4 linked regions of the Pelodiscus sinensis genome follow. The protein of the gene in region 4 purifies or fractionates together with the protein of the main gene of each other region. This does not show direct contact. Links are inferred from orthologs where the notes say so. Each region holds a gene or a part of one and is shown on either strand. Other genes may lie near its edges.

Region 1 (7,885 bases), on a different chromosome or scaffold from region 4:
GGCGCAGGGCGGGGGGGGGGAGACAGACACAGGGTCCCAAGGGGCGCAGGGCGGGGGGGGGGGGAAGAGACAGACACAGGGTCCCAAGGGGCGCAGGGCGGGGGGGGGGGAAGAGACAGACACAGGGTCCCCAAGGGCACAGGGCGCGAGGGGAGAGACAGACACAGGGTCCCCAAGGGGCGCAGGGCTGGGGGGGGGGGGGAGAGAGACAGACACAGGGTCCCCAGGGGCGCAGGGCGGGGGGGGAGAGACAGACACAGGTCCCCAGGGGCGCAGGGCGGGGGGGAGAGACAGACACAGGGTCCCCAGGGGCGCAGGGCGGGGGGGGGAGAGACAGACACAGGGTCCCCAGGGGCGCAGGGCGGGGGGGGGGAGAGACAGACACAGGGTCCCCAGGGGCGCAGGGCGGGTGGGGGGGGAGACAGACACAGGGTCCCAAGGGGCGCAGGGCGGGGGGGGAGGGGAGACAGACACAGGGTCCCAAGGGGCGCAGGGCGGGGGGGGGGGGGAAGAGACAGACACAGGGTCCCAAGGGGCGCAGGGCGGGGGGGGGGGGGAAGAGACAGGACACAGGGTCCCCAAGGGGCGCAGGGCGGGGGGGGGGGGAGAGAGACAGACACAGGGTCCCCAGGGGCGCAGGGCGGGGGGGGAGAGACAGACACAGGGTCCCCAGGGGCGCAGGGCGGGGGGGGGAGAGACAGACACAGGGTCCCCAGGGGCGCAGGGCGGGGGGGGGGAGAGACAGACACAGGGTCCCCAGGGGCGCAGGGCGGGTGGGGGGGGGAGACAGACACAGGGTCCCAAGGGGCGCAGGGCGGGGGGGGGGGGAGAGACAGACACAGGGTCCCAAGGGGCACAGGGCGGGGGGGTGGGGGAGACAGACACAGGGTCCCAAGGGGTGCAGGGCGGGGGGGGAGAGAGACAGACACATGGGTCCCCAGGGGCGCAGGGCGGGGGGGGAGAGACAGACACAGGGTCCCCAGGGGCACAGGGCGGGGGGGGAGAGACAGACACAGGGTCCCCAGGGGCACAGGGCGGGGGGGGGGGAAACAGACACAGGGTCCCCAGGGGCGCAGGGCGGGGGGGGGGGGAGAGGACAGACACAGGGTCCCCAGGGGCACAGGGCGGGGGGGGGGGAGAGACAGACACAGGGTCCCCAAGGGCACAGGGCGGGGGGGGGGAGAGACAGACACAGGGTCCCAAGGGGCACAGGGCGGGGGGGGGGGGAGACAGACACAGGGTCCCCAGGGGCGCAGGGCGGGGGAGACAGACACAGGGTCCCAAGGGGCGCAGGGCGGGGGGGGGGGAGAGACAGACACAGGGTCCCAAGGGGCACAGGGCGGGGGGGTGGGGGAGACAGACACAGGGTCCCAAGGGTGCAGGGCGGGGGGGGGGAGAGACAGACACAGGGTCCCCAGGGCACAGGGCGGGGGGGGGGGGAGACAGACACAGGGTCCCCAGGGGCACAGGGCGGGGGGGGGGGAAACAGACACAGGGTCCCCAGGGGCGCAGGGCGGGGGGGGGGGGGAGAGACAGACACAGGGTCCCCAGGGGCACAGGGCGGGGGGGGGGAGAGACAGACACAGGGTCCCCAAGGGCACAGGGCGGGGGGGGGGGAGAGGACAGACACAGGGTCCCAAGGGGCACAGGGCGGGGGGGGGGGAGACAGACACAGGGTCCCCAGGGGCGCAGGGCGGGGGGGGGAGAGACCAGACACAGGGTCCCCAGGGGCGCAGGGCGGGGGGGGAGAGACAGACACAGGGTCCCCAAGGGCACAGGGCGGGGGGGGGGGAGACAGACACAGGGTCCCAAGGGGTGCAGGGCGGGGGGGTGTGAGAGACAGACACAGGGTCCCAAGGGGCGCAGGGCGGGGGGGGGGAGACAGACACAGGGTCCCAAGGGGCGCAGGGCGGGGGGGGGGAAGAGACAGACACAGGGTCCCAAGGGGCGCAGGGCGGGGGGGGGGGAAGAGACAGACACAGGGTCCCCAAGGGCACAGGCGGCGAGGGGAGAGACAGACACAGGGTCCCCAAGGGGCGCAGGGCGGGGGGGGGGGAGAGAGACAGACACAGGGTCCCCAGGGGCGCAGGGCGGGGGGGGGAGAGACAGACACAGGGTCCCCAGGGGCGCAGGGCGGGGGGGGAGAGACAGACACAGGGTCCCCAGGGGCGCAGGGCGGGGGGGGGGAGAGACAGACACAGGGTCCCCAGGGGCGCAGGGCGGGGGGGGGAGAGACAGACACAGGGTCCCCAGGGGCGCAGGGCGGGTGGGGGGGGAGACAGACACAGGGTCCCAAGGGGCGCAGGGCGGGGGGGGGGGGAGAGACAGACACAGGGTCCCAAGGGGCACAGGGCGGGGGGGGGGGAAACAGACACAGGGTCCCAAGGGGTGCAGGGCGGGGGGGGGGAGAGACAGACACAGGGTCCCAAGGGGTGCAGGGCGGGGGGGGGGGAGACAGACACAGGGTCCCAAGGGGCGCAGGGCGGGGGGGGGGGGAGAGACAGACACAGGGTCCCCAGGGGCGCAGGGCGGGGGGGGAGAAACAGACACAGGGTCCCCAGGGGCGCAGGGCGGGGGGGGAGAGACAGACACAGGGTCCCCAGGGGCGCAGGGCGGGGGGGGGAGAGACAGACACAGGGTCCCCAGGGGCGCAGGGCGGGGGGGGGGAGAGACAGACACAGGGTCCCCAGGGGCGCAGGGCGGGGGGGGGAGAGACAGACACAGGGTCCCCAGGGGCGCAGGGCGGGGGGGGGGAGAGACAGACACAGGGTCCCAAGGGGCGCAGGGCGGGGGGGGGGGGAGAGACAGACACAGGGTCCCCAGGGGCGCAGGGCGGGGGGGGGAGAGACAGACACAGGGTTCCCAGGGGCACAGGGCGGGGGGGGGAGAGACAGACACAGGGTCCCCAGGGGCGCAGGGCGGGGGGGGGGGAGAGACAGACACAGGGTCCCCAGGGGCGCAGGGCGGGGGGGGGGGAGAGACAGACACAGGGTCCCCAGGGGCGCAGGGCGGGGGGGGGGAGAGACAGACACAGGGTCCCCAGGGGCGCAGGGCGGGGGGGGGGGAGAGACAGACACAGGGTCCCCAGGGGCGCAGGGCGGGGGGGGGAGAGACAGACACAGGGTCCCCAGGGGCGCAGGGCGGGGGGGGGGGGAGACAGACACAGGGTCCCCAGGGGCGCAGGGCGGGGGGGGGGGAGAGACAGACACAGGGTCCCCAGGGGCGCAGGGCGGGGGGGGGGGGGAGAGAGACAGACACAGGGTCCCCAGGGGCGCAGGGCGGGGGGGGGGGGAGAGACAGACACAGGGTCCCCAGGGGCGCAGGGCGGGGGGGGGGGAGAGACAGACACAGGGTCCCCAGGGGCGCAGGGCGGGGGGGGGGGGAGAGACAGACACAGGGTCCCCAGGGGCGCAGGGCGGGGGGGGGGAGAGACAGACACAGGGTCCCCAGGGGCGCAGGGCGGGGGGGGGGAGAGACAGACACAGGGTCCCCAGGGGCGCAGGGCGGGGGGGGGGAGAGACAGACACAGGGTCCCAAGGGGCACAGGGCGGGGGGGGGGGGGGGGAGACAGACACAGGGTCCCCAGGGGCGCAGGGCGGGGGGGGGGGGGAGACAGACACAGGGTCCCCAAGGGCACAGGGCGGGGGGGGGGAGAGACAGACACAGGGTCCCCAGGGGCACAGGGCGGGGGGGGGGAGAGACAGACACAGGGTCCCCAGGGGCACAGGGCGGGGGGGGGGGAGACAGACACAGGGTCCCCAGGGGCGTAGGGCGGGGGGGGGGGGGAGAGACAGACACAGGGTCCCCAGGGGCGCAGGGCGGGGGGGGGGGGAGAGACAGACACAGGGTCCCCAGGGGCGCAGGGCGGGGGGGGGGGAGAGACAGACACAGGGTCCCCAGGGGCGCAGGGCGGGGGGGGAGAGACAGACACAGGGTCCCCAGGGGCGCAGGGCGGGGGGGGGGGGAGACAGACACAGGGTCCCCAGGGGCGCAGGGCGGGGGGGGGGGGAGAGACAGACACAGGGTCCCCAGGGGCGCAGGGCGGGGGGGGGGGAGAGAGACAGACACAGGGTCCCCAGGGGCGCAGGGCGGGGGGGTGGGGGAGAGACAGACACAGGGTCCCCAGGGGCGCAGGGCGGGGGGGGGGGAGAGACAGACACAGGGTCCCCAGGGGCGCAGGGCGGGGGGGGGGGGAGAGACAGACACAGGGTCCCCAGGGGCGCAGGGCGGGGGGGGGGGAGAGACAGACACAGGGTCCCCAGGGGCACAGGGCGGGGGGGGGGGGGAGAGACAGACACAGGGTCCCCAGGGGCGCAGGGCGGGGGGGGGTGGACACCCGGGGAGATTCGGAGCAGGTCTCCCGGCAACCAGCCTCCCTCTGGCGGCAGCTCTCCCGGCACCCAGACCTCCAATACACGCGTTGGCCGCTCTGCTCTCTGAACGTCTCCATGGCGGGTACTTCCGGCCGCTCGCGCGCGCTCCCCCGAGACTCTATGGCGGGTATTTCCGGCCGCTCGCGCGCGCTCCCCCGAGACTCTATGGCGGGTATTTCCGGCCGCTCGCGCGCGCTCCTCCGAGACTCTATGGCGGGTATTTCCGGCCGCTCGCGCGCGCTCCCCCGAGACTCTATGGCGGGTACTTCCGGCCACTCTGGTTCCGGCCGGTAGCTCTGTGGTGGCTGGTTCCGCCTCCCTCCCTCTCTCCTTTCCTCCGTCCCTCGCCGCCCGCCCGCCCGCGCTCGGCTCGCGCCCCGCCAGCTCCCGCCAGTCCCGCGCGGCCCCAGGGCCCGGCCCCCGGGCAGCCCGCGCGCCATGGGCGCCTACCTGTCCCAGCCCAACACGGTGAAGAGCTCGGGGGACGGCGCCGGGGCCGGGCCGCGCCCGCTGCACTTCGGCTTCAGCGCCATGCAGGGCTGGCGGGTCTCCATGGAGGTGAGCGGCGGGGCGGGGGGGGGCGGGGCGCGCGGGGAGAAGCGGGGGGGGGGGGGCGGGGCGCGCGGGGGGGGAGAAGCGGGGGGGGGGGGGGGGCGCGCGGGGGGGGGAGAAGCGGGGCTCGCGGGCGGGGCGCGCGGGGGGGGGGAGAAGCGGGGCTCGCGGGCGGGTCACGCGGGGGGGGGGAGAAGCGGGGCTCGCGGGCGGGTCACGCGGGGGGGGGAGAAGCGGGGCTCGCGGGCGGGTCACGCGGGGGGGGGAGAAGCGGGGCTCGCGGGCGGTTCACGCGGGGGGGGGGGAGAAGCGGGGCTCGCGGGCGGGTCACGCGGGGGGGGGGAGAAGCGGGGCTCGCGGGCGGGTCACGCGGGGGGGGGGAGAAGCGGGGCTCGCGGGCGGGTCACGCGGGGGGGGAGAAGCGGGGCTCGCGGGGGAGAAGAGGGGCCCGCAAGATCTCGGAGGGCAGGTTGCGTGGGGGAGAAGCGGGGCCAGCAGGCGGGACGCAGGGCTTTGGCGGGGAGCGCCGCAGGGCCCGTTTTGAGCCGGGCTTGTCTGTCCTCAGAGCCCCCTTTCCGTGCTGCTTCATACGTGCCGTTCTCTCTGCCCTGGCTGCTCTGGCCTGGCCCGCGCTGCCCCTTCCTGGAGCCTGTGGTGGCACCGAGACCCCTCACAGAGAGTGAATCTGCTCTGCAGCCTTGGCCGGCTTTGTGCTCAAGCTGCGAAAGTGCCAGGTTCGGTCGCACCTGTGCGCATTACATTTGCTCCCCCTGGCATACTTTCTCAAGGCTGGGGCATATTTATAGCTCGCCCTGAACTCCCTGCCAAGCTCTCAATATTCTGCTGGTAACGAATGGGATGTATTAGTAGTGTAGCCCTGAACTGTACTGTGTCCTATCACGCTACTGCCTCCTAACTAGCTTTCTCTTTGCTTTCCCCATTACAAATGTCTTATCCATTTCTGCTACTCTCTTTTACCCACCTTTGCTCATTTTTAACATGGGAGTAAGGAATCACCATTGGGACAAACTGCCAAAGACAGGAATGAATTGTCCATCCCTTGATGTGTTCATATCCAGATATGTTCCAGAAAAGCAACCATCTTTAGTCAAATGTAAATTATTGGGCTCACTACAGGGGTAACTGTGTTGGACTCCATAGCCTGTGTCATGCTGAAGGTCTGACTAGAGGATCTAATAGTCCTTTCTGGCCTTAAACATCTATAAATCAATGAGGACCTGGGCTTTAGAGTCTTTGTCACCAGCTGGATTAACTACACATTAAGATGAAATCTCCTATTATTTTGTGTCGGTGTATCTAAAATCTCAAGAGTCTTGCTTACATTACAAAATTCCCTGCTCACCTGGTGTATGGAAGGCTTCTCGATCCAATTGGGGTTTTACCACCATATGGCTATGTCTACACTGGCAGCTTCTTGCACAAGAACATCTTGCGCAAGGGTTCTTGTGCAAGAGGTCTTGCGCAAGAAAACGTCGACACTGCCATGTGCGAGCTGTGCTTTTGCGCAAGAGCGCCCATGGCAGTGTGGACGTTTTCTTGCGCAAGAAGGCTCTGATGGCCATTTTAGCCATAGGGCTTTCTTGTGCAAGAAATCTCTGCCCAGCGTCCACACTGCCCTCTTATGCAAGAGTTCCTGCACAAGAGGGGTTACACCCGTTAAAAAAGAGCATAGCTCTTGCGCAAGAAGCCCTCTCTTACCACCCCATACTGTACATTTCTGCGGGCCGGCAGTGTGGATGCTCAGCGGATTCTTGCACAAGAACAGCCATACTTGGGTAAGAAGCTGTGACTGTAGACATAGCCTACAAGTTAGATTTATAGTCCACAGTCTGAACTATAACCATGGTAAAAATGGGTCTGGCTGCCCAGAGTCATGAACAAAGCAAGGCTCTCACCACTACCTGGAATTTCTTAGTAACACTCCCTCTTAGGTACATAAGAATGGCCATGCTGGGTCAGAGCAAAGGTCCACCTAGCCCAGTATCCTGTCTGCTGACAGTGGCCAATGCCAGATGCCACAGAGGGAGTGAACACAACAGGTACCCCTCAAGTGATCCCTCTTCAGTCACCAGTTCCCAGTTGCTGATAGATGTTAGGGACACTATTCCTACCCATTCTGACTAATAGCCATTGATGGACATAACCTCCATGGATTTCTCTCAATTCTTTCTTGAACCCTGTTGAAGTCCTAGTCTTCACAACCTCCTCTGCCATGGAGTTCCACAGGCCAACTATGCACTATGTGAAGAAAAACTTCCTTTTGTTTTTGTTTGCTACCTATTAACTTCATATGGTGACCCCTAGTTCTTATGTAATGGGAAATAACTTTTCCTTATTCACTTTTTTCCACACCAGTCATGATTTTATAGTGCTGTATCATTTCTCCCTTTAGTCTCCTCTTTTCTAAGATGAAAAGTCCAAATCTTTTTAATCTCTCTTCATATGGGACCCATTCCAAACCCCTAATAATTTTTGTTGCCCTTTTCTGAACCTTTTCCAATGCCAATATGTCTTTTTGAGATGAGGCGACCATATCTGTACACAGTATTCAAGATGTGGGCATAGCCTGGTTTTATATCGTGGCACTAAGATGTTATCTGTTTTATTCTCTATCCCTTTTTTAAATGATTCCCAACATTCTATTTGTTTTTTTGGCTGCCACTGCACTCTGAGTGGATGGTTTCAGAGAACTGTCCATAATGACCCCAAGATCTCTCTCCTGAGTAGTTGTCACTAAATTAGTCACCATCAGATTGTGTGTATAGTTGGGATTATTTTTTCCAATTTGCATTACTTTACATTTTTCCACATTCAATTTCATTTGCCATTTTGTCGCCCCATCACGTAGTTTGGTGAGATCTTTTTGAAGCTCTTCACAGTCTGCTTTGGTCTTAACTGTCTTGAGCAGTTAGGTGTCATCTGCAAATTTTGCCACCTCA
Region 2 (8,103 bases), on a different chromosome or scaffold from region 4:
GAAGCTGCACTTTCCTTTATTCTCCACTTCTTTGCCTCCCTCTCCAACTACCTATTTGGCCGCATTCTCACCCTTTCACCTTTTCTGTGTTACTCCCCCAGCCCTCTCCCGCCCCTGAACTCCCTCTCATACCCCTACCCCACACTCTCTCCTTCCACCAAACGCTCTTCCAGACCCTACCTTCCTCACCCCATCCTTCACCCCACTTCCCCCCCCAAGATACTGCATCCCTATCACACTCACTGGCAGCCCTGTCCCACACACTGGGACAGGGCTTCATTTTTTTCCCCACCCCAGAGCCGAAGGGGGTCCACAAAATCCACTAACTGCAGAACTCCAGAAAAGTAAATCTGGCCTATGGGAAGCCCTGAACCTCAGTACCTGACCCTTCCCCTCAGGAGGCTGGTGTGCCAGGTGAGGTGTCTCAGTTGGGGTCAACATCAGTGAAGGTTGGGGGGTTTGGGAGGAGTTTTTTTTTGCTTCTCACTTGTGTGATCCCCAACTGATTTTTCTGTGGGTCAGTGACTTCCAACCCAAAAGGTTCCTCACCCCTGCTATAAAGAAAGAAAACACTGAAACCTGTGTGTTGGACATAAACTTCATTTTAAATAAAGTAAAACATTGATAAACTAACACAAGCAAGTTAAAAAGCTTAATCTGTTTAATAATTTAAATGAAACCATTCTCCCCAGCTGCAGCACTAGCAAAATGGCTTGGGTACAATTATGTAATTAACAGTGAATTTCCATTAGCAACTGGTACTCCAGGGAAAGATTTGCATTGACTCAGGTGGTCCACGGGGAGCCAAGTGGAAAGCCCCTTCCCCCAGAGAGAGGAGCACAGCCCAGGTCAGGAGAGTTAAATTTTGGCCCACCACTTCAGAAGGGTTGCTGACCCTGGTGTAGTCAATCAACTAGCAAAAGCTTATAGGTCAATGCTATAGACTATATACATTTCTCTCTCTCACACACACACCCACCCACCCCACACAGCCCAGACCAGTTCCTGCTCACACCAGGTCCAGCTCAGTCCCCACTGTATCAGAGACAGCAACGCAGAGCAACAGGTAGCCAGTCCACAAGGAGAGCTGAATCAGAGGCAGTGGTATGGACTGGCAAGCAGCTCCTCCCAAGTGGGGCCAGAGCATACTGGCAGTGGGCCCCAGCCCCGGTGACTACAGGGCTGCCAGCCCTAGGGACTACAGAATAGTTGAGTAACTTATGAAAATTCACAAGGTTATTCAACTATTCAATTAACCAATATTTAACATCCCTACTCTGAACTTCATTTTACTAGCCTCTCACTCCACCTCCAAATGGGTCAGCCAGCTCAAGTTACAAATAGGGTGACACTCAAATTAGGGGGTTGGATGTGGAGGAAATTCAAGTTAGTGACAATACTTGAGTTACCACTCATGAACTCTGCCGTGAAGACATGTGCTAACATGTATGAATTTTACCTTCCAGAAGGTCACTTCAGTTCTCTATCTGTAATAGTAATTTATCTACCACTCAGTATTAATGACAGAATAAATCCATTAACATGTCTGGTGTACCCAAATATTACTGAGATTCACATCATAACTAGGGATGTGAATAGCTAAAGGGTTAAATGGTTACCCAGTAAGCATCACCCTTAACCAGTAATGCTTACCCGGTAACAGTCAACAGGTACCAACCAGGAGCAGCTTAGCCTCTATCAGAGGGCTGCTCAACTCCTGTGGAGTTCCCCACTGGGTCAGCCCCCCTGCCTACCTTCTCTTTAATGGATTAAATATTGTGTTAGTAGGATGTTTAACCATTTAACCAAATGGGATTTTACATCCCTAAATAATTAACAGCAGACAGACGATTGAGTAGGGATATAAAATACCCAAAAAGAACAGCCACTTTTAGAATAAAGAATGCTATTAAGTAGAATTTTGCTAGTCAGCAAACCTTATAAATTTACACAGAAATCAAGTCAATTCACAGAAAGGTTTAAAAAACCCACTAATTACTGACACTTTCTTACTCCTACAGAATACACCATGTATGACACTAATAATTGTTCTGCAGTATGTCAAACAGAAAAATGTGTGGCCATCAATGATACCCACAGCACAAAAGTATCAAAGCTGTTAAAAATGTTTTTGCCCAGTAATGGGAGAAAAGACAAAAAGAAGATACAAAGAAAAGTCTAAACAACTTCCTCTAAATAAGCCTATGCTGAACCATAGGTCAAGTAAGGCTACATTCACAGGGTAATGCATAACATGGCCACTAAAACACAGTAATTAAATCCACTTTAGAAATGTGTATAAGTATTTAATAAAAAATTAAATCCAATTTAGATCCTGTATGTCTAATAAAAACGTTAGTGGATAGAAGTTTGCTAAAGTTCAGCACAGAAAATGCAATTTCATATTAGCGAGATTCTTTCATCTTTCTAGCCCAAAGCAAGGCGTACCACCTAGAACCAAACACAAAACGCGACCTAACCGCTATTAAACTCGGGCAGTGTAAGTTTTAGCTTCCTAAAGCCGAAGCTAGCGAAGCACATCCTGGGCGGCTTTACAGCACGGGGGTCGCCTGCTTACAGCAATGCAGGCGGGTCAGCACGAAGGCTGGAGCCTCGGTACTCCCAGCCCAGCCGCGCACGCGGTGTTGTGCCCAGCGGCCACGGGCTGTGCCTCCAGGCAGCTTTGAGCGGCCACGCGCGGCCCGCGCGAGGAAGGGCGGGGGGGGGGGGCTGCGCTGGACGCGCGGCAGACACAATGCCAGGCGGGCGCCAGCCACATGCAGGAGCCGGCCCACGTGCGGAGCGGAGCGGGCCGCGGGCAGCGCACGGCCCCAAGCGGCGCCCCGTGGCCTCGGGCCCGGCTGGCGCTCTACGAGGCGGCCCACGCGCTGCCGCCCAACCCCGAGCGCCATCCCCAGCCCAAACCAGGCCCCGCGGCGCCTCCGGAGCGCGGCCTAGTCCCGGCCGCCAGGGCCCAGCGCCCCGCCTCGGCCGAGCGGGGCTGGCTACGCACCCGCGGCGGGCCAGCTCTCGGCCAGCCCCCCACCCCCCGGCGGCGGCCCCGCGGCACTCACCGGAGCGCGGCCTACGCGGCGCGGCTGGGGCCTAAGCAGCGACTGCAAATGGCGCGCGCGCGCCTCCTTTCGCCTCATGGACGGCGGCGCGACCCCGGCAAAACGCGGGGTTTCCCAGAACTGCTTCCAGGGCTCCCTGCATTAGCCAATCAGCGTATTGGGAGCCAGACGAGCAGCAAGGCGGAACCTATTAGCGATCGGAGGCGAGACACGATTATTCTAGGGGACCAATTAGAGAAGACAGAGGCCGACGCGCCCGCAGAGCTAGGGCCCGAGATCGGAAATTTAAAGAGGCAGCTGCGCCTCGCTGAACAAAGGGAGGGGCCGCCTCCACCGCTGGGCGGGGCCAGGGCTGTGAAGAGCCGCTCGCGCTCGCGCCCGCGCCCTACGGTTCTCACAGGTACTGAGCCAGGGCACCGCCCCGGGCTGGAGGGCAGGGCAAGGTGCGGGGAGCATGGAGGAGAGGGGTGGGGGCGGGGCAAGGTGCGGGGGGGTTCGGGGTGGGGGCAGGGCAAGGTGCGGGGAGCATGGAGGGGTTTGGGGTGGGGGGCAGGGCAAGGTGCGGGGGGGTTTGGGGTGGGGGCAGGGCAAGGTGTGGGGGGCATGGAGGGGTGGGGGCAGGGCAAGGGGTGGGGGGCATAGAGGGGTGGGGGGCAGGGCAAGGGGTGGGAGGCATGGAGGGGTTCAGGGTAGGGGGCAGGGCAAGGTGTGGGGGGTATGGAGGGGTTTGGGGTGGGGGGCAGGGCAAGGTGCGGGGGGGTTCGGGGTGGGGGCAGGGCACGGTGTGGGGGGCATGGAGGGGTGGGGGCAGGGCACGGTGTGGGGGGCATGGAGGGGTTTGGGGTGGGGGACAGGGCAAGGTGCGGGGGGTTCGGGGTGGGGGCAGGGCACGGTGTGGGGGGCATGGAGGGGTGGGGGCAGGGCAAGGTGTGGGGGGCATGGAGGGGTTCGGGGTGGGGGGCAGGGCAAGGTGCGGGGGGTTCGGGGTGGGGGCAGGGCACGGTGTGGGGGGCATGGAGGGGTGGGGGCAGGGCAAGGTGCGGGGAGCATGGAGAGGTTTGGGGTGGGGGGCAGGGCAAGGTGCGGGGGGGTTCGGGGTGGGGGCAGGGCACGGTGTGGGGGGCATGGAGGGGTGGGGGCAGGGCAAGGTGCGGGGAGCATGGAGAGGTTTGGGGTGGGGGCAGGGCAAGGTGCGGGGGGGTTCGGGGTGGGGGCAGGGCACGGTGGGGGGGGCATGGAGGGGTGGGGGCAGGGCAAGGTGTGGGGGGCATGGAGGGGTTTGGGGTGGGGGGCAGGGCAAGGTGCGGGGGGGTTTGGGGTGGGGGCAGGGCACGGTGTGGGGGGCATGGAGGGGTGGGGGGCAGGGCAAGTTGTGGGGGGCATGGAGGGGTGGGGGCAGGGCAAGGTGTGGAATGCATGGAGGGGTTCAGGGTAGGGGGCAGGGCAAGGTGTGGGGGGCATGGAGGGGTTCAGGGTAGGGGGCAGGGCAAGGTGTGGGGAGCATAGAGGGGTTTGGAGTGGGGGCAGGGCAAGGTGTGGGGGGTTTGGAGTGGGGGCAGGGCAAGGTGTGGGGGCATGGAGGGGTTCGGGGTGGGGGGCAGGGCAAGGGGTGGGGGGCATGGAGGAGCTCAGGGTAGGGGGCAGGGCAAGGTGTGGGGGGCATGGAGGGGTTCTGGGTGGGGGCAGGGCAAGGTGTGGGGGTATGGAGGGGCTCAGGGCAGGTGGGAGCTAGGAGCTGAGAGTGCAGCCACTGTAGCCCACCTGTCAGATCCCCTCAGCTGGCCGAGCTGGCTGGCCACCTGAGCTGTGGGTTTATTATCGTGAGTACTGATTCCAGCCCAGAAGGCCTGGAACCTTGTGCCCCTCCCCCCAGTTCTCTGGTAGTGGGGACAGGATTGGGCTCCTGTGAGGCAGAAGGGGTGGGATGAGCACCCAACATAAGAATCTTACAGTGTCCGGCAGCAGCTAGAGTCCTGCCCCCAGCTAGCCACTCTCCTACTGCACACCACCTTACTTTCACTTCTAGTATCTTGTTTGCAACACTCTTGTTAATGCATCCCAGAATCATGTTTGCCTTTTTTTTTCTTTTTTGCAACAACGTTACACTACTTATACACATTAAGGCAGGGATGAGCAAGAGGCAGCTAGCCAGCGGGATCCAGTGGCCACCTTGCCAGCACCCTTACTACAGAGCAGTTGCAGCTGCTTTAAACAGTGGTCTGCTAATTGATATGCAATCTGGGCAGGGAGTAGGGATGTTAAAAAGTGTCTAATCAGATAGTTGACAAGTTGTTTAGTTGATAAAGGGGGGAAACTGCAGAGTTGCAGCAACCTTGCTGCAGCTCTGCCTTTTAAATCTATTAAGTGTTATCAGGCTGTTAGACATTTAGGCTATGTCTACACTGGCATGATCTTGCGCAAGAACTCTTTTGTGGAAGAATACTTGTGCAAAAACTCTTGCAGAAGAGAGCGTCTACACTGGCATATGCGTTTGCGCAAGAGCATCCATGCCAGTGTAGACACTCTCTTGTGCAAGAAGGCTCTGATGGCCATTTTAACCATAGGGCTTTCTTGTGCAAAAAATTCATGTTGCCTGTCTACACTGGCCTCTTGCGCAAGAACAGTTGCACAAGAGGGCTTATTCCTAAGCGGGAGCATCAGAGTTCTTGCACAAGAAGCCCTGATTTCATACATTAGAACGTCAGTGTATTTGCGCAGTGTAGATAGGCAGCAATTTTTTGCGCAAAAGCAGCTGCTGCTTTACCACATCTTCACAGTGGTTAGTTGATAGGAGCAAATGCTCTCCTTGACTTCCCGTGCTCCTTGCAAATAGAGGAGTACCCGTGCTGGCCAGGGGTACCCTCACCATTTGATTTAGTGGGTTTTATTAGACCTGCTAAATGGAATACCAGAAGATTGATCTCCGCTGTGGCAACTGGAGATGTAACCTCAATCTTCAGGGAAAATTGTTTTTAAAAAATGAAACTTCTGCCAAAACGCTAGCATGCTATGGTCTTTGAAGTTCACAAAACAATCCCTTCTTGCTTACATATTATCTTCACAGCTTTAGGATGCCAAGCAAATCTGTGAATCAGCTAAAATAGTCATGTTCTTGTTTCAAATATTAATAAATATTTTTCTGGTACTGGAGCATAAAAAACATTTACTTAGTCTTATACAATATGTCTGGGATGTCAGCTCTTCAGCTGACTGATACTGCACACACCATAGAACAGTAAAATTAAGTAACAGAGCAAAACAGACTGCAAACAAACAAGTGGCAATACCATGAATGGTGAGTGAAGCTGCTGCTTGGGGAAGCAAGCTCCCCAGCCTGTGGCCTCTTTCATACGCCACATCTTCTGTCTCAAGCCCCACTATGTCCATCCTCTCCTCCTACGGATGTTAAATATTGGCTAATCAAATATTCGATTAACCTCATGAATTCTTATCAATTACTCAACTATTGTATAGTCCCCAGAGATGGGGCTGGCAGCCAATGCATTCCAGCCCCACTCTCAAGGAGCCCCCTGCCTCTCCACCTTCCATCAGAGGCAGCAGCGCAAGGTGCCAGTTGGGAGCTGGTCCGCAAGGGGAGCCAGTTTAAAAACCAGCTCCTCTCATGGACAAGGTGCCTGTTGCCCCACGCAACTGCTTCTGATACAGAGGCAGTAGCATGGGGTGGCAGCAGCCTCTGTCCAGTGTGGGGCTGAGCTCCTGGACCTGGAGAGAGCCAGATCTGAGCAGGGCTGCAGATCAGCCTGCTAAAAAATTTACAGGCAGGAGGGAAAGGAAATGCATGTAGTCCATGGCATTAACCTATAAGCTGTTTCTTATTGGTTAATTGACTACACTACTACATCCCTATCTCCTTCCTATCAAATCTCTGAACCCAAATGTAGAAAATGGCATTGCAGGGCCCCACTCTTCTGCAGTTTCTTGTCAGATAGTGAAGACTAGACATGCAGAAGGTAATAGAAAACATGGAAATGGCTGAGGTGCTTAATGACTTTTATTTTGAATTTCACCAAGGAGGTTGGTGGTGACTGGATGCCTAACATACTGAATGCTAGTGGAAATTGTAGCCATGTAGTTAAAACGTAGTTTTAAGCTAAATAATGTGCCTCAGTGTACTTTGCCAGCTACCCTTTCTAAAAGCAGAAAGGACCTTTACCTTACTTTTGGTAAAGGTTCACCAGCCCAAATATTGTAACTAAAGCTCATTCCAAGGTAGGGATAGTGTGACAGACCGGACTAGGCTCAGAGCAAATTGCTCAAATTTGGGGCTCCTTACAGCTCCCAGACTGGAGACCTTCCCAAATAGGCCACAAACCAGTCCCACGGAGCGCTTCAGCTGCCTGCCTGGCCAGCCAGAAGCCTCACGAGCAAAACCCCTCTGACTCCTCAGCAATATCTGTGCCCCAGATGGCCCTGGACCCCAGGTGAGGGGTCTTAGAGCCCAATCTCACCTACCCCAAACAAGTTCTGTCTGGTTCCAAGAAACGAGCCACAGATCCCAGGTTTACCCTCTGGCTCTTACCCACAAACCACGCTGAGCCAATCCTTTAGAATCTACCATCTAAAGGTTTATTACTACTAGAAAGAAAAGCGTGAGAGTGAGGTTGTTAACGTATCATACATTACATGCGTCGAATCTCCCAGTTCTTGATGCAGGCTTGCAGCAGAGATGTTATAACTGCTAGCTTAAAAGTCTTTGGTGTACATCCTACATCAGGATGGGTCCACAGTTCTTTCCGGCTCCTCCATCCCTGCACTCTTGCCTCTGGAATGAAGAGCTGAGCTGAGCACCCAGATGGAGTCAGCCACATGGCCTATTTATACGCCTCCCTGGCTTCTTCCAAGCTGGAGGGAGTCACAGGCCAGGCATCCAGGTTCTCTCTCAGGTAGGTCTCTGGTACTTAAGAGACCTATTGTTTGAAACAGCCTTGCTCATTCGCATGTCCATAGGTTGAGCTGCCTTGCCCATTGCTCAACCACATACAGAGAAACTTTCAATATCCACACAGAG
Region 3 (7,779 bases), on a different chromosome or scaffold from region 4:
GCATCATCCCTCCCTTGATCTCTACAGGCCTCTCCTGCCCCGCCATTAACACTGAAGCCTAATGACATGTTACAAAGCCAGCACTGACGTGCCATCAGTAGGTGCGGTGCCAGGGGACACGCTCACCAAATGTTGGACGGCTCTCGCACATGCGCCCCGGGCGCTCCGTGTCGAACACCCGCACAGCCTTGTCAAACCCACAGAACAGCTGGGAGCCGTCGGGGGTGAAGCACAGAGAGTGAGCGGCTGTTAGCTCATCCTGGGGACAGATGCACAGAGAGAGGTGTCAGGACTCCTGAGTTCTACCTTGGCTCCGGGAGGGGTTGAGGCCTAGTAGTTAGAGCACAGGAAATGGGAACCAGGCTCTGTACCCACCAGGTGGTTGTAGCAGCGGAACGTGGCCCGCAGTTCCCCATGGAAAGCGTCCCACACATGGATGGGGTTGTCTCGGCTGCTGCTGGCAAAGCTGCAGGATCACAAGCGGGAAACATGAGTGTGCAGGACAGGGGGACAATGGTGGAGCCAGCGCTCCAGAGTGTGGACAGGCCACATGTCCCATTCCCCGCCCCCTTGGGCCAGACAGTCCCTGCCCAGGGCCTGATGAGAAAGGCTTGCACTCTCTCTCAGTGCAGTGGGGTAGACAGCCCGTCAGTAGGGGACGCCCTTTGCAGGCTGCAGCATTTACAAGCAGGTGGGGGGATCCGCAGAGCTCATCAGCGGGAACCAGCAATAGTCATAAACGGTGTCTCCCTCAGCCATTCGCAGCACAGGACTCTGGGAGGAGACAGACACACAGATATGGACAGTCAGGCAGCAAAAGGTGCATCACGGCATGGTGGGGCAAGAGAGAACAAACAGAGCCAGAACTCCTGGTTCTGGGGAGTGAGGACTAGTGGTTAGAGCAGGGGGCTGGGAGCCAGGACTCATGGGTTCTCTTCTTATCTCTGGGAGGGGAATTCAGGCTGGTGGGGGAGCAAGAGATTTTAATTCTTCAGACATGTAAGCCACGAGCAGACTACAATTTGGGGGAACACCCCAGCCCCTTTACCAGCTGACTAGCCCCATCCTGCCTGCCAGGACAGCTATGGCGGGGGGCCCTCCATTTAGAGGCTGTCCCCCACCCACACACCCATGGAACCAGCACAATCCCACCCCCACAGGGAGCAACTCTCCCTCGACAAGCTCCTCCTGCCCCACTCCCCAGCAGTGCCCCTCCCTCCTACCATCTCAGCCACGTCCCCCCACTCCGGGCCGTACAGCTCCACGGGCAGGTTGTAAATGCGCAGGGTGTGATCAGCGCTGTTGGTCAGGAGACAGGAGCCATCTGGGGCCCTGGAGAGAGGAAGGCAGAGCCAGGCCATCAGGGTGACCCCTCTGCCCTAGAGCTGGGGAGAAAACCCAGAAGTCCTGGATCCCAGCCCCCACTGCTCTAACCCACCAGCCTCTAGTCCCTGCCCAATGCTCGGCTAGAAATTCCCTGTGCCTCAGTTTCCCCACTCACTCTTCTGTACTGAGGGTATGAGCAGCACCCATCCCATTGTGGGAAGCCCTCAGCCCTGCCCAGCAACCAACACAAGGGGGTCCCAGTCCAGGGAGTTAGAGGAAACAATTTTGGGGCTCTGTGCTGCACTGAGAGTAGCCTATTTCCACGAGGGGGTGCTATGCCACCCACAGCCCTCCAGGGGCCTCCAATCCCAGGGCAGAGTCCCCAGATATCTACCCTTCCCCAGGCCCCAGCCCAGCCACCTACCACTTGCAGCCCTTCAGGAAGTTCTCTGGCACCTGGCTGTATTCGCCCCAAGCGCCTGTCAACAGCTTGGGGGGAGCCAAGAACTCATAGCCTGGAAGGCTGGGAGGGGGAAAAGAGAGGAAGACACTGGTACAAAGGAAGCCCAGGACACCTGCTCTAACTCAAGCAGCTCCCACTGCCCTCAGAGCCAGAACCCAGACGTCCTGGCTCCCAGCCCTTACCCCCAGTTTTAATGAGCTAGTCTCTGGTTCACACAGCAGCTCAAAACACCCCTCCCCAGCTCAGCCCCCACAATCAGAACCAGATGCTCCCCGTGCCGCTGAGATCCAAGATCAGCAGCTGTATGTGTGGGGCCCCACTTGTCACCAGGTCCTTACTAGCCCTCGTCTTCCCATGCCGCTTCTTGCCCTCCATCCTCCACCGCTTCATCCCCGTCCTCTGCCGGCCCCTCACTCTGCACCCGCTCTGGCGCAGATACTGGGGGGGAGCTGTTCTGCCTGGCCAGCTTGGCAGGCAACGCTTGGGACCCGGGGTCCCCTCCAGTGGGGTCATCCACAGTATCACCGGGCATGCCCGGCTCCATAGCACAGAGGGTTCAGCTGGCAGAGCGCTCAGGGATGTCCGTCTTCTGGCTCCAGCTGGAGCTGCCCAGGGTGCCTGGGGAGTCAGTCATTCCCAGAGCGCAGGACGGGCACCTGCAGAGCCAGGCGAGAAAGAGTTAATGGTGCAGAGCAACTGCCAGAGCCTGGGAAAGAACCCAGCTGTCCTGGCTCCCAACCCCCCTGCTCCAACCACCAGCCCCCACTCCCCTCCCAGAGTTGGGGAGCGAACCTTTGAGTCCTGGCTCCCAGCCCCGCCTCCAAGACCAGGTGTCTCCAAGTTCCCGGCTCTTACCCACGATGGGACGGGGGAGGGGAGAGGAATGGCTGGATGGAAGAACCCACTGTCTAGGGGAGCGCGGAATGCATGGAAGAAACTATTCTCGGGGGGGGGGTGGAATAGCCCACTCTCTCCGGTGGAGGGAAGGATAGGTGGAAGAGTACACTTTGTCCTGGGGTGAGGAGGATGGAAGAGTCCAGCTATTTCGTGGGACTAGGGGAAATGGGTTGGTGGAAGAGCCCAATCTTTCCCATACGGAGGCCCCGCGGGAAGGTCCACTTTTTCCCGGGGACGTCTGGAAGAGCCCACTCCCTTAGGGAGGGGGAGGGTGAAAGAGCCCATTCTTCCTCGGGCGGGAGGGAGGAGGATGGAACAGCCCACTCACTCCTGGGGCGGAGGGAGGTGGAATAGTCCACTCTTTGCGGGAGGGCGTGGAAGAACACACTATCTTCGGGGCTCCGCCGTTACCTCCCAGCAGCACCAGAAGCTCAAGGGCTGACGGCGGCCATAGTAGCAGGAGACCCCGCCCCCTCGCACACATCTCGCGAGAGGTGCCCGGAAACGCTACAGGATCCGAACCATTAGCTCCCACGCCCCCCACTGAAATCCCGCGAGATCTCAGCCCCTGAGCCGAGCCCCGTATGTGGCCCAATGGAGGTGGAGGGCGGCTGGGGTGTGTCTATCCGGACTGCGGGGCAGCTGGATCAGGGCGTGCGGGGGCTTGGCTGGGAGGGAGGGTGGTTGGCGCGGGGGACATAGGCCTGGGGGCCATGCAGCATCCCCTTTGGGGGGAGACATTGGTAACGTGCAATAATTGTTTTATTAGCAGGTAACAAGCCAACAGGAGAGAGCCCCCCAGTCCCAGCTCCAACCTGGGACTGTAACAGTGGGGGTGGGGGGATCTTCTAAGGTGCCACTGCAGCTCTCCGGATGCTTGAGTCCCTTTCTCCCAGGCCGGCTGAGTCCCTCCACAGCTGCCTGGATCCTTTCCCTCAGGATGCCTGAGTCCCTCAGCAGCTCCCCAGATGCCTGGGTCCCTTTCTTACAAACCAGCCCAGTTCCTCAGCTACTTCCCAGATGCCTGGCTTCCTTCCAGGCTGGTCAAGCCACCTGGGCTAGCACTGTTTGTGCTGTACCCATGTGGCTGCCAGGCATCTCTGTGGCCTTGGATTTTGTACAAAAGCCAGATGAGAACCCAGGAGTCCTGGCTCCAAGCCTCCCTCCTCCCCTGCCCCACTTCTAGTCCCCACTCCCTTCTCAGGTCCCAGAAGTTCTGGCCTCCAGCCCCACCGTTGCCAGGATTGTTCAAAGGCCTCCATGATGCAAACTCCATTTGCAACCTTCACAAAGTTTTTTTTTGCCTGGAGTTTCCTTAGTTGTATTGGTTTGTTTCAGGGCAGGTGTGCTTGTCAGCGGCCCCTGTTGGCCAGGGTGGAGTTCTGCTGCCCTCTGGTGATGAACCCCTTTCACACACTCCTGATGGGAGGTTTGGCTCCTGAATCTCTGGTGGCTGAATTCCTCTGCAGCTCCCTGGACACCAGTGTCTAAGTTCTGCCCATCCTGGCCAAATCCCTCTGCAGCTCTCTGGATGCCTGGGTCTCATGGGTGGGCCCTACAGGCGGAATAGGCCCAGGAAGGTCCCATGGGGGCTAAGGTCCAGGGATGCATTGGCTCGAGGGATGCGAAGGCTTAGTCGGTCTCCGCGCTGGAGTTGGAAAACACCTGGGGGGACATTATGGGATGTGTGTGGAGAGCCCACCTCCCAACCTGCTCAGGGACAGATCTCCCCATTCCCTGTAAATCACTCCCCCAGTGGCTGCTTCTCCCTTTTTCCCACTTGCCCCCCCCCAGTGGTCCTTGCCCTGCACCCCCAATAGCTGGAGCCTGCCTCCCAATGCCAGGATTCCCTCACCTGCGCTGTAACAACTGTTGTAGGCTTGCTCCAGCTCACGGGGCATGCTCTGCACACAGCGCAGCAGGATCTGCCCCGGGCCTCCGAGTGGTGCCCGCCACAGCACCTGCCCCATGGTGAATGTAGGGTCATGGAACAGCACCTGGGGGGCAGGGGAGAGGATTGGATTGGCTGTCACTGGGGAATGGGGCAGGGGACTTGTCACCTCAGGGGGGTGCCAGTTCCCATCTGACACCAGGGCAGGAAATGGCTGGCTCAGGGGAGCAGGCAATGGGGCATGGGGCCTGTCCCCTCTAGGTGATGCTGGCGCCCATCCAGCCCCAAGGCAAGGATTGGCTGGCCCACGGGGTGGGCAATGGAGTACAGGGCCTATTCCCTCTAGGTGGTGCTGGCTCCCATCCAGTCCCAAGGTAGGGATTGCTGGCTCAGGGGTGGGCAATGGAGTTTGGGGCTGTCCCCCATAGCAGGGGGCTTTTACCTGGCTGTAGATGAGGTACAAACCCGTCTTCTTCACAGTGATGTCTGGGCCACTGATTTCCAGTGCCTGGCCCTGCTGCAGGAAAGGCTGCCACCAGATCTCAGTCATGTCCCCTTCGTCTGCAAAGCAGATGGGAGGCTGTTAGTGCCCCTTTGCTCCCAGCTCCTCCTGATCTACCCTGTTGGAGCCAGCTCCCCTCCTGGGACAGGAGAAAACCTAGGAGTGCTGGCTCCCAGCTCCCTCCTGCTCTAACCCACCAGCCCCTACACCTCTCCCAGAGCCAGGGAGAGAACCCAGGAGTCTTGATTTTCAGTGTGGGTCACCCATAGAAGGAGGGTACTGTGGTAGGGTGTTGAGGGGGTTGATGACTCACCATTGGTGGAGCAGTGGCTGGGGGCCAGATGCAGAACCGATCGTTTCCCTGGGGATAAGTTGGAGAGAGAGAGACTGTGACTTGCCAATTTCCCTCCCCATAACCTGCCCTTCCTCTCTGTTTGCTCTCCTTTACCCTAGGCTGCCAAAGCTTGGATCTGCCACTGGGAACTTAAACAGCCCTACCAGGTGGCACTTGATCCCACTGCTCACACCAAGCAGTGTGAGCCAAAGGGCTTTAAGTCTGGTGTCCCCAGAACTGCCAGGTTACAGCCCAACCTCAATGCTAGGTACTATCCCCAGAGCATCTCAGGCGGCACCACGCAAGGTCCATAGTTTCACAGAGATAATCAGTGAGGGATCCCATCTCTGCCACCATCTCAGCTTGGGGTTCCACTGTGGGAGCAGGGAGTAACAGCTCTTACCAGAAATTGACCTGAGGTCAAGAATTGGAAGCAGAATCCAAGCCTGATACCTCTGCCATCAGGGATGACTCCAGATTAAGAGAGGTGAGATCATCATGTGGTGCTTCCCTCCCTGAGTTTGTTACTTTCCATTCTCTCGTCCTCCCCCCCCCCCCCCCGCAGTCAGTCCCTGCCCTAGGGGCTGGATGGGAGATGGTGGTCCTTAGAGAGGAGAGGCTCTATCTGTGTCCCATCTTCTGCACACAGGGGCTGTGTCTACATTGGCATCCCTTTCTGGAAAAGGGATGCTAATGAGACACTTCGGAATTGCAAATCCGCGGGGGATTTAAATATCCCCCGCGGTATTTGCATTTACACGGCTGCCGCTTTTTTCCGGCTCGGGGTTTTTGCCGGAGGATCCCTTATTCCTACTTGAAAGTAGGAATAAGGGATCTTCCGGAAAAGGGCTTATTTTCCGGAGAATTGCGTCTATACTGGCGCTTTTCTCCGGCAAAAACCCCGAGCCAGAAAAAAGCGGCAGCCATGTATATGCAAATGCTGCGAGGGATATTTAAATCCCCCGCGGATTTGCAATTCCAAAGTGTCTCATTAGCATCCCTTTTCCGGAAAGGGATGCCAATGTAGACACAGCCAGGGAGAAGAGGACACACACACATAGATTGACAGCTGCAGCCCCTTGTCCCTTCCTCCCTCTTGCCTCCCGCCAGCCCCAGACACTGACTATGTGGCTGTCGCTGGTCCTGGTCCCTTGAGTTCTCGGAGAACCTCTTCCCTCTTTGCCGCAACAGGGTCCCCAGGAGCAGGCCTGGCTCCCCGGACTCCTGAAAGAACGACGGACAGGAGAGGGTTAACCCCGGAACAGAGCTATTGCTCTAACTCCTACACGCCACTCCCTTCCCAGAGCTGTGGAGAGAACCCACAGGAGTCCTGGCACCCTGCCCTCCTGCTCTAACCCACCAGCCCCCACTCCCTTCCCCGACCCGAGCAGAGCACCCGGGAGTCCTGGCTCCCAGCCCTCCTGCTCCAGCTGTCCCCACGCCCCTCCCGGATGTGGGTGTAGCTGGGCAATGCTCGTTGGAAGTGGAACTAAGGAAGCGAGGCCGCTGTTCAGCTCTGTAAAGATTACCCAGACCTGCAGGGCAGTTACACAATGTGCAGGGGCCCGGGGAGGGGGTCGGGGGGCGGCCTGGGCCTGGGTTCCCTCCCCGGCTCTGGGAGGCGGTGGGGGCCGGTTGATCTTAGCAGAGGGTGGGCGGGGAGCCAGGGCGCCTGAGTTCTCTCAGCAGATCGTGGACAGGAGTGGGGGCTGGGAGCCTTCCCCTCCCCCTCGCGGGGTTTCCCAGAGCTGTGGGTCGTTTCCTCCTCCTCCGCCCGCGCTAACGATCGGTCCGGGCTTTGCGTTTGCGGCTTCGCATGTCCCCCAGCCCCGCGCCCACCCCAATGGGGGGGACCCTCAGTTTTTTAACCCTTCTGGGGTCTTCCCTCGTGGAGAATAAGGGGAGAGCGAAAGCAAAGCAGCGCCTCGGATTTTCCCTGGTAAGATGCCCCCTCCTAGGGCCGGGGAGAGAACCCAGTCCTGGCACCCAACCCCCCCTCTAACCAGCAGCCCCCACTCCTCTCCCAGAGCCGGGGAGAGAATCCAGGAGTCCTCCCCCCCCCATGTAACCACTTGACTCCCTTGCTCTCATAGGGCCCCCTGTGAATCGGGGGGGGGGTCCTCACCTGAGTCACTTCTGGGGATTGGGTCTCTCCTCTCCTGGCAGCCGCCAGCTCCCCCCGCAGCCGGGCCAGCTCCCCCCGCAGGGCCCCAAGGCTGGCCTGCTGCACTGTGAGGGCCATGAGACAGGCTAGCACCCCCAGGGCTGCACCTCCTCCCAGCCACAGCGCCCCCAGAACCTGCCACCCTGAGGCTCCAGCCATGGGGGGTGAGAGTTGCCTCCCCGGTGTAGCCCCCCACCTGATC
Region 4 (6,727 bases):
ATTCTGTATATCTTGTGGTCAGGAAGTAATGCTTAAGTGTTACAGCACAGAAGGTGCCTGTTACCTCATTTTCTTGTCTTTCAATTACTGGTAAAAGTGAATACAGGAGGTGCTAAGTTGGTCATTAGTGATCTTCACTGTATTTTTAACCAAAAGCATTTCCAGTCATAAGGAATCTATAATGGATGATGCTTAGATAAATGTTTATTCACTGCTATAAATCAACACTAATTGCATTCATTTAAAATTGTCAGACCAAATTAACCAGAGCAATGGTGTCTACAAATGCAACGTATCATGAATTTTCTTTGATCAACTTAATTTCCTTCCAAGCTTAGCAGCAAACTCCATAGTGGAAGAGAATATGCATTTCAACTAGTGATTAATCCCCTTCATTTTATAAGCCAGTACGAATGTATTGTAGAGGCCTTTCAAATTGTGAAATGCAGAGATGGTGTTTTGTAAATGAAACCATGTTTAAATATCTCTAACACCTACTAACTATTTTACTTTCATGTGGAACTGGTTCCAGGGCCATGTAATTTCTTATGTGCATGAAATATGCCCTTGAAATCCTCCAAATAGCAGGGATTGTGCCTGACAGCTGTCCAAACTGTGTATTTGATTTAATTTTGTAGGTACAATTACATTTTCTCACATTTGAAAAATGTAATTGAACCTCCACCCTTCAAATTCAATGCACAAACTAGGAAAATGTAAGTTTTGAGCAGTGCTCTTTTCCATGCTGTGTACAACCAATTACTAAGATTCATTTTTTTGTTGCTGGCCACTATTTTATTACACACAGTACATTTTCAGGGATATACAAGCAATGAAAGGCTACTACAGCAGATTTAGAAGTATCCAAATTAAAGGGCATGGCAGAAAGAAATACTGGATGTTTTACTAACAAGTTTTGTACTAATTCAAATTGTCTCTGGTTTGATTATGTAGGTGGAGCAAGCTGCTGTGTGCAGCTGCTGTCTTGCAACAGATCAAAGTTGGTTTCACTGCAGCATGAAACTAGTAAATAGTAACATTTTAGAGTACACCAATACAGTAGTGTAATCGCTGCTAAGTGAAAGTCTCCCACTGTGGAGTCCGTGGGCTCCGTAGTTTACAATACTTAGGATGGTTGTGCTTGATCCCAGACAAGATGTTCTCAGCCTTAACATTAAACGGGTAGAGCCTCAGATCGGTGATACGTGGGACCAGGCAACTAAACAGTCTGTGCCACAGCTGCTTCCTGGTGCCAGCGTTTCGCAGTTCTCCGGGCACCGTAACAGGACGGACTCCAGCCTGGCCGCAAGCAACGCTCGGGGCGCGGCCCCACCTGTGCACGTGGAGCCCGCTCGTCCCGCCTACCAGCGTTACGGCTCAGTTCCCAGAAATACGGAAGCCCCTGGCGCTGGCACCGGGCAGATCACGGGGACCTCGCCTCGTTCCCCTGGTGTGCAGCGCGCGGCCGTGGCCCGGGGAACGCCTGCCTAGCGGGGCGCAGCGCAGCGAGGGGGCCGCCCCTCCAGGAAACCCGCCCCGGATCCGCAGCTCTTTCGCTGAGCCTGGGGCGGCCCTGAAAAGGGCCTTTGGGGGGGGCGGGCGGGCGGCTAATACTCCTGCGACTGCTGCCCGCCGCCCTTCTTGCCGCCCTTGGCCGGGCCGGGCCCGCCGCCCGCTTTCTTGGGCAGCAGCACGGCCTGGATGTTGGGCAGGACGCCGCCCTGCGCGATGGTGACGCCCCCCAGCAGCTTGTTGAGCTCCTCGTCGTTGCGCACCGCCAGCTGCAGGTGCCGCGGGATGATGCGCGTCTTCTTGTTGTCGCGCGCCGCGTTGCCCGCCAGCTCCAGGATCTCCGCCGTCAGGTACTCGAGCACGGCGGCCAGGTAGACCGGCGCGCCCGCGCCCACGCGCTCGGCGTAGTGCCCGCGCCGCAGCAGCCGGTGCACGCGCCCCACGGGGAACTGCAGGCCGGCGCGCGACGAGCGGGACTTAGCCTTGGCCCGGGCCTTGCCGCCGCTCTTGCCGCGGCCGGACATGGCGCGAGAACAGAAGGGGGCAGGAAAAGGACGCACGCGGCCCAGCGATCGCCTCCCACGTCAGCAAGGGCCACTGCCTGCCACAGCCAACTGCCCCGGCGCCCGCCGCGCGCGCTTTCTTTTATAGCCGCTGCGCGATGACGCTGCATTCCGCCATTGGCTGGTCATTCAGATTCTCTCACGGATTGGTTCGGCTCAGGAGCTGGCCAAACGGTATGCATTTATTGGCTGCCCGAACAGGCCAATCAGAAGGCAGGGCGCCAAATTCAAACGGAGCCCAAAGCCTAATAAGGAACCGAGCAGCCTCATTCTCGTTGCCAGTGTCCAGGGTTCCACCCCGTGAACTGGCCCTTGGCAGGGGCTGCCACTGTGCGAGCATCCAGGGTGAATCCATTCTGCCCCGCCCCCGGGGGCAGACCCCCATTCTGTAACGTGTGAGTAGGATGCTCTCCCCCTTTGGGCAATTGCTTGAGTGACAGAACAAATAGACATGGAGCCCTCTTCCCCTGCCCACAGGTAAGAAACTTCACGTCCTATTGGCATCTGGTCCTTGGTTTAACGACACTGCAGGTCCACAACACTCAGGTAACATTAACACCCGCATCCGACCAATGGCCTCTGCCCAACCCCATCACAGAAAAAAATTCAGCTGAGAGAGGCCAGTGTAAGAGTCTTTACTCACATCTGGGAAGGGGGCCTGTGACTCTGAGACAGAGCGAGATTCCTGCTGCCATGTGGCAGGGAACTGAAAAAGTAAAAGGTAGATCAGGAAGTGCTGGAGTTTCCCTTACCACTGGCAGCGCAGTCAAACATCATAGAACAAGCGTACTAGTTGGTACCGGATCAAAAAGGCAATGGTGCTGCCCACTACCTACAGAGGAAAAAAATAAGGAAGATCATTGGAATCCATTTGTGCTAAATACTTGACCGAGTGGTATAAAGACAAGATCCCTTTGTCAAACAAACTACATCATATGACCCACCTCTGTAAGTAACACAGAAGTTAATTTAAAATATTTCCATGCCTACTTTCAAAGGGGTGTGTGGGAATGAGAAGACTGGGCAAGATTATTCTCTCCGAGGAGCAGTATGGTTCTGTATTGCAGAGCCATAGCTAACTCAGGCAGGTGAGAGACAGCCCCCGCTTTAACAAGCTACTTGGTATGGTGGAAGTAAAGATGTAAAGATAAGTGAAGGGGTGAAATCAAAATGTTCCCTGTGCCTGAGAATTTTAGTGTGGACCTACATCCACAGTAGAGTAGGCCCTCCTGTCTGCGGGAGCATTTGCCTGACCTGGATAAGAAGCAGCAGAACAGTGAGGGTTTGCTCTGAGGTTGGTCCAATAAGCTTTATAACAAAGTTAATGAGCGTCATGTTGTTGCACTCTGTGTATTCTTCATCTTCGTCTAATTTCTGTCTCACATCCACTATATGAAAGGTTTCTGATACCTGGGGAAGAGAAGTATGTTAATCGATCTTTAATTAGATACATTATGGCTGCGTCTACACTGGCATGATTTTTCACAAAGAGAGTGTCTACACTGTCATGTGCTTTTGCGCAAAAGCATCCGTGCCAGTGTAGACGCTCTCTTGCGCAAGAAAGCTCCGATGGCCATTTTAGCCATTGGGCTTTCTTGTGCAAGAAATTAACGTTGCCTGTCTACACTGGCCTCTTGCACAAGAATACTTGCACAAGAGGGCTTATCCCTGAGTGGGAGCGTCAGAGTATTTGCACAAGAAGCACTGATTTTGTACATTACAATGTCTGTTCTTGCACAAATACTCGCAGCCAGTGTAGACAGGTGGCAAGATTTTGCACAAAAGCGACTGCTTTTGAGCAAAATCTTGCCAATGTAGACACAACCTATGTGTTTACTACTTAGAGCAGGGGTGGGCAATAACCCCTTTGGATGGGGGCACCACTTCATGAATTTTAATTCATGGTTGCAGACTGGCTCTGGCCCCTTAGGAGGGACGGAAGCCTTGGGCAGAAAGGGGCGGATCCCTCTGGGTGGGGAGTGGAAGACTTCATGCACACCCCCATTCCCAGGCCAATTGGGACCTAGGAGTGCGGAAAATCATTCACTGTTCAAAACAGCTGGTGGTTCCCTCTAGGCACTGTGTGCCCGTGGCATAGAGTGTGTAGTTGATAACAGAAGACAATTTTTACTTATCTCTCAAGGTACCTTTAGAATATACTTTCCCAGTGCTGAAAGACTTTTGGTTTTGAATTTGGAGTAGCTCATTTCCAGCTTCCCTGTTCCAGGATTGAGCCTGAAAAGAACATTGAAATATTAGTCCAGTTGCACCAAAGAGGCTAAATCTCTCTATAAAAGCGGGGGGGGGGGGGAAGACATCTGGAGTAATCCTATACATGTAGACTACGTCTACACTGCAGGCTTCTTGCGCAAGAACTGTTTTGCGCAAGAGTTCTTGCACAAAAATTCTTGTGCAAGAGCACGTCCACGCTACCATGTGCTTTTGTGCAAAAGCAAGAGCTCTTGCCCAAGAGGGCTTATTCCTCGTAAGGAGAGGAATAACTCTTGCACAAGGAGCCCTCTGTTCCGACACTTTACTGTAAATGTACTTGTGCAAGAACGCGTGTGCAGTGTAGATGCTCCACAAGTTTTTGCGCAAGAACAGCTGTTCTTGCGCAAGAAGCCAGCAGTGTTGACGTAGCCATAGTAGTCCTATAGGAGTCTCAGATGTGTAGCCACTCAAATAAGGCAGGGGCCAGAAGAATGTTTTGTGGGTAGTGTGAGGGGCAGTCAGCTGGGTTGCAGAAAGTTGTGGCAATTTCAAGGCAACATAGAAATTCCCACACATAGAAAATTGACAGTTCGTGTAGCATAGAACTGATAACAGAACCTTAGAGATGGCATAAACACTTCACTCTTCCCTGTGTTTTATAACACTACTAAGGAACAGTGTTTCAACTCTGCTCTTTACAGGGCTATAACATTATTTGTTAACACAGTTCTAACTCCATCTACAAAGCATCACCCAAACATATTAGGGACAGCTGCACTGTGAGTAGATCACTCAGTATGGCAGATTTTACATCACACACACAGACTTGGTGTTAGATACTGGTTAATTCAACAGTTGAGTAACTGCATGAATTCCTATTGTTTACTCAACTATTCTATAGGCCCCAGGGGCGGGGCCAGTTTGCTCTGCTAAATACTTTACTGAGTGATATGCCGACAAGGTCCCTTTGTCAAACAAACTACAGTACATCATGGTACTTCTGTGTTACTTACAGAGGTTGGTCATTTGCAGGAGTTAATTTAAAATATTTCTATGTCTACTTACAAAGGGGTGTGTGGGAATGAGAAGACTGGGCAAGATTATTGGGGTGCACTCCTGGGGAGCACTCTAACATTCTGCACTGCTGCCTCGGTATAAAAAGGCAGCAGCATGGGGTGCCAGGCAGGAGCCAGTCCACAAGGGGAGCCACGGAGTGGCAGCAGCCCTGTCTGCAAGGGTCCAAACTCCCCGCACACAGAGGCTGCTGGAGAGTGGGAAGAGGAGGAAGAAAGGCAGCCAGGAAGGAGCTTCTGTCCACAGCAGCCTGGGTTGCCCTGAAAAGAAGCTGGCCCGGCAGCAGCCCCTGTCCACAATGGATCCAGGCTTACCACAGACAGAGGCGTAGGGAGCTCAGAACCTGGGCCTGCAACGAGCAGACTACTTCACAGCAGCCTCCCCTGCCCTCTTCACCCCACACTGGTATGTCTAATAAAGGCAGAAATGGGAGGGGAGGGGAAGAGGGGGAGGGCAGCACCGCATAGCCAGTGCTGCGGTGAAAACCAGCTTTTAAGCCAGCTCCCTCCTAGCATTGGCTCCTGTTTCCCTCCTCACCCCCTGATACAAGACAGCAAGCGGGGGGGGGGGGGGGGGGGGGGGGGGGGGGAAGAAATGCAAATAGTAAAGAAGATTACCAATGAGCCTAGGCTTATCTGTTCATTGTATACTTGACTTCTTTATATCCCTAGTCTGTATTAAGCTTTCATAGTACTAAAAGGTCCCATCATTAGACCCCTGCGTGGATATAAAATTTGCATCTGTGTCCATAAAAATGAGCTGCAGATATTTGCCTCCACATTCACAAATCTGGATACCCACATATATATATAAAGCAGATATCTGTAGATTTTTAGGGCTCTTACAATCAGGACTCTACAGTTCACACCTTCTTTCTAGGACTGGGTATACAATAACTTGTGATGGGGGGCCGCTCCCAAGATTTTGGAAAGCAGCCAAGAGCTGTACTCTTCCATGGTATTAATGGAGGAGAAGTGGGGTCTGGGAAGGAGGTTGGGTACAGAAGGGAGCTTGGGGTAAAGGATTGGAGTGCAGGAGGAAGAATGGAGTCTGGGAGGGAGTTTGGGTGAATCAGGTAGTTGTGACCTAGGGTAGGAGGGGACTGTGATCTCAGGCAAGAGATTAGGGTGCCAGATCTGGGAGGGAGTATGGGTTCATGTGGAGTAGCGGGGCAGGAGTGGTTGGGGAAGGGAGAGGCTGAGGTGCCAGAGGCAGGTTCTCCCCAGATGACATGCCAGCCTGCCTGCAGAGCTAAAGACTTACAGAGCTTAAAGTGTTTTTGCCTACTCGGCCATGTGCTTGAGTGTGAGCAGGAGGGTTGTCCTTTGTGACTGCCTGTTATTCACACAAACAGCTCCCATTGGCCA

What was found. The genes of interacting proteins can lie anywhere in the genome.
Region 1: the proteins of H2AX (region 4) and PPM1G purify together in Homo sapiens (affinity purification with mass spectrometry; 4 studies listed by BioGRID and IntAct, counting the BioPlex papers as one, with this or other methods). This does not show direct contact. The link is inferred for Pelodiscus sinensis from reciprocal best matches to the Homo sapiens genes H2AX and PPM1G.
Region 2: the proteins of H2AX (region 4) and HNRNPR purify together in Homo sapiens (affinity purification with mass spectrometry; 3 studies listed by BioGRID and IntAct, with this or other methods). This does not show direct contact. The link is inferred for Pelodiscus sinensis from reciprocal best matches to the Homo sapiens genes H2AX and HNRNPR.
Region 3: the proteins of H2AX (region 4) and WRAP53 purify together in Homo sapiens (affinity purification with western blotting; 3 studies listed by BioGRID). This does not show direct contact. The link is inferred for Pelodiscus sinensis from reciprocal best matches to the Homo sapiens genes H2AX and WRAP53.

What each region holds. Positions count from the first base shown.
Region 1 is NW_027465901.1:418,915-426,799, reverse strand, and holds the start of PPM1G (protein phosphatase 1G), read left to right. Parts: upstream 1-4,663; 5' UTR 4,664-4,811; coding exon 4,812-4,931; intron 4,932-7,885.
Region 2 is NC_134735.1:23,169,586-23,177,688, reverse strand, and holds the start of HNRNPR (heterogeneous nuclear ribonucleoprotein R), read right to left. Parts: upstream 3,223-8,103; 5' UTR 3,153-3,222; coding exon 3,075-3,152; intron 1-3,074. UniProt on the Homo sapiens protein: Component of ribonucleosomes, which are complexes of at least 20 other different heterogeneous nuclear ribonucleoproteins (hnRNP). hnRNP play an important role in processing of precursor mRNA in the nucleus.
Region 3 is NC_134734.1:10,097,354-10,105,132, reverse strand, and holds the start of WRAP53 (telomerase Cajal body protein 1), read right to left. Parts: upstream 3,223-7,779; 5' UTR 3,098-3,222; exon of another isoform or gene 3,015-3,097; intron 2,915-3,014; exon of another isoform or gene 2,582-2,914; intron 2,446-2,581; 5' UTR 2,334-2,445; coding exon 2,128-2,333; intron 1,850-2,127; coding exon 1,751-1,849; intron 1,333-1,750; coding exon 1,224-1,332; intron 775-1,223; coding exon 686-774; intron 467-685; coding exon 376-466; intron 260-375; coding exon 127-259; intron 1-126. Other genes in the region: uncharacterized protein LOC102454093, read right to left, coding at 4,242-4,351, 4,542-4,683, 5,020-5,138, 5,393-5,440, 6,538-6,637, 7,539-7,779. UniProt on the Homo sapiens protein: RNA chaperone that plays a key role in telomere maintenance and RNA localization to Cajal bodies. Specifically recognizes and binds the Cajal body box (CAB box) present in both small Cajal body RNAs (scaRNAs) and telomerase RNA template component (TERC).
Region 4 is NC_134736.1:120,147-126,873, reverse strand, and holds H2AX (histone H2AX), read right to left. Parts: upstream 2,545-6,727; 5' UTR 2,037-2,544; coding exon 1,608-2,036; 3' UTR 773-1,607; downstream 1-772. Other genes in the region: DPAGT1 (UDP-N-acetylglucosamine--dolichyl-phosphate N-acetylglucosaminephosphotransferase), read right to left, coding at 2,842-2,907, 3,330-3,485, 4,223-4,310. UniProt on the Homo sapiens protein: Variant histone H2A which replaces conventional H2A in a subset of nucleosomes. Nucleosomes wrap and compact DNA into chromatin, limiting DNA accessibility to the cellular machineries which require DNA as a template.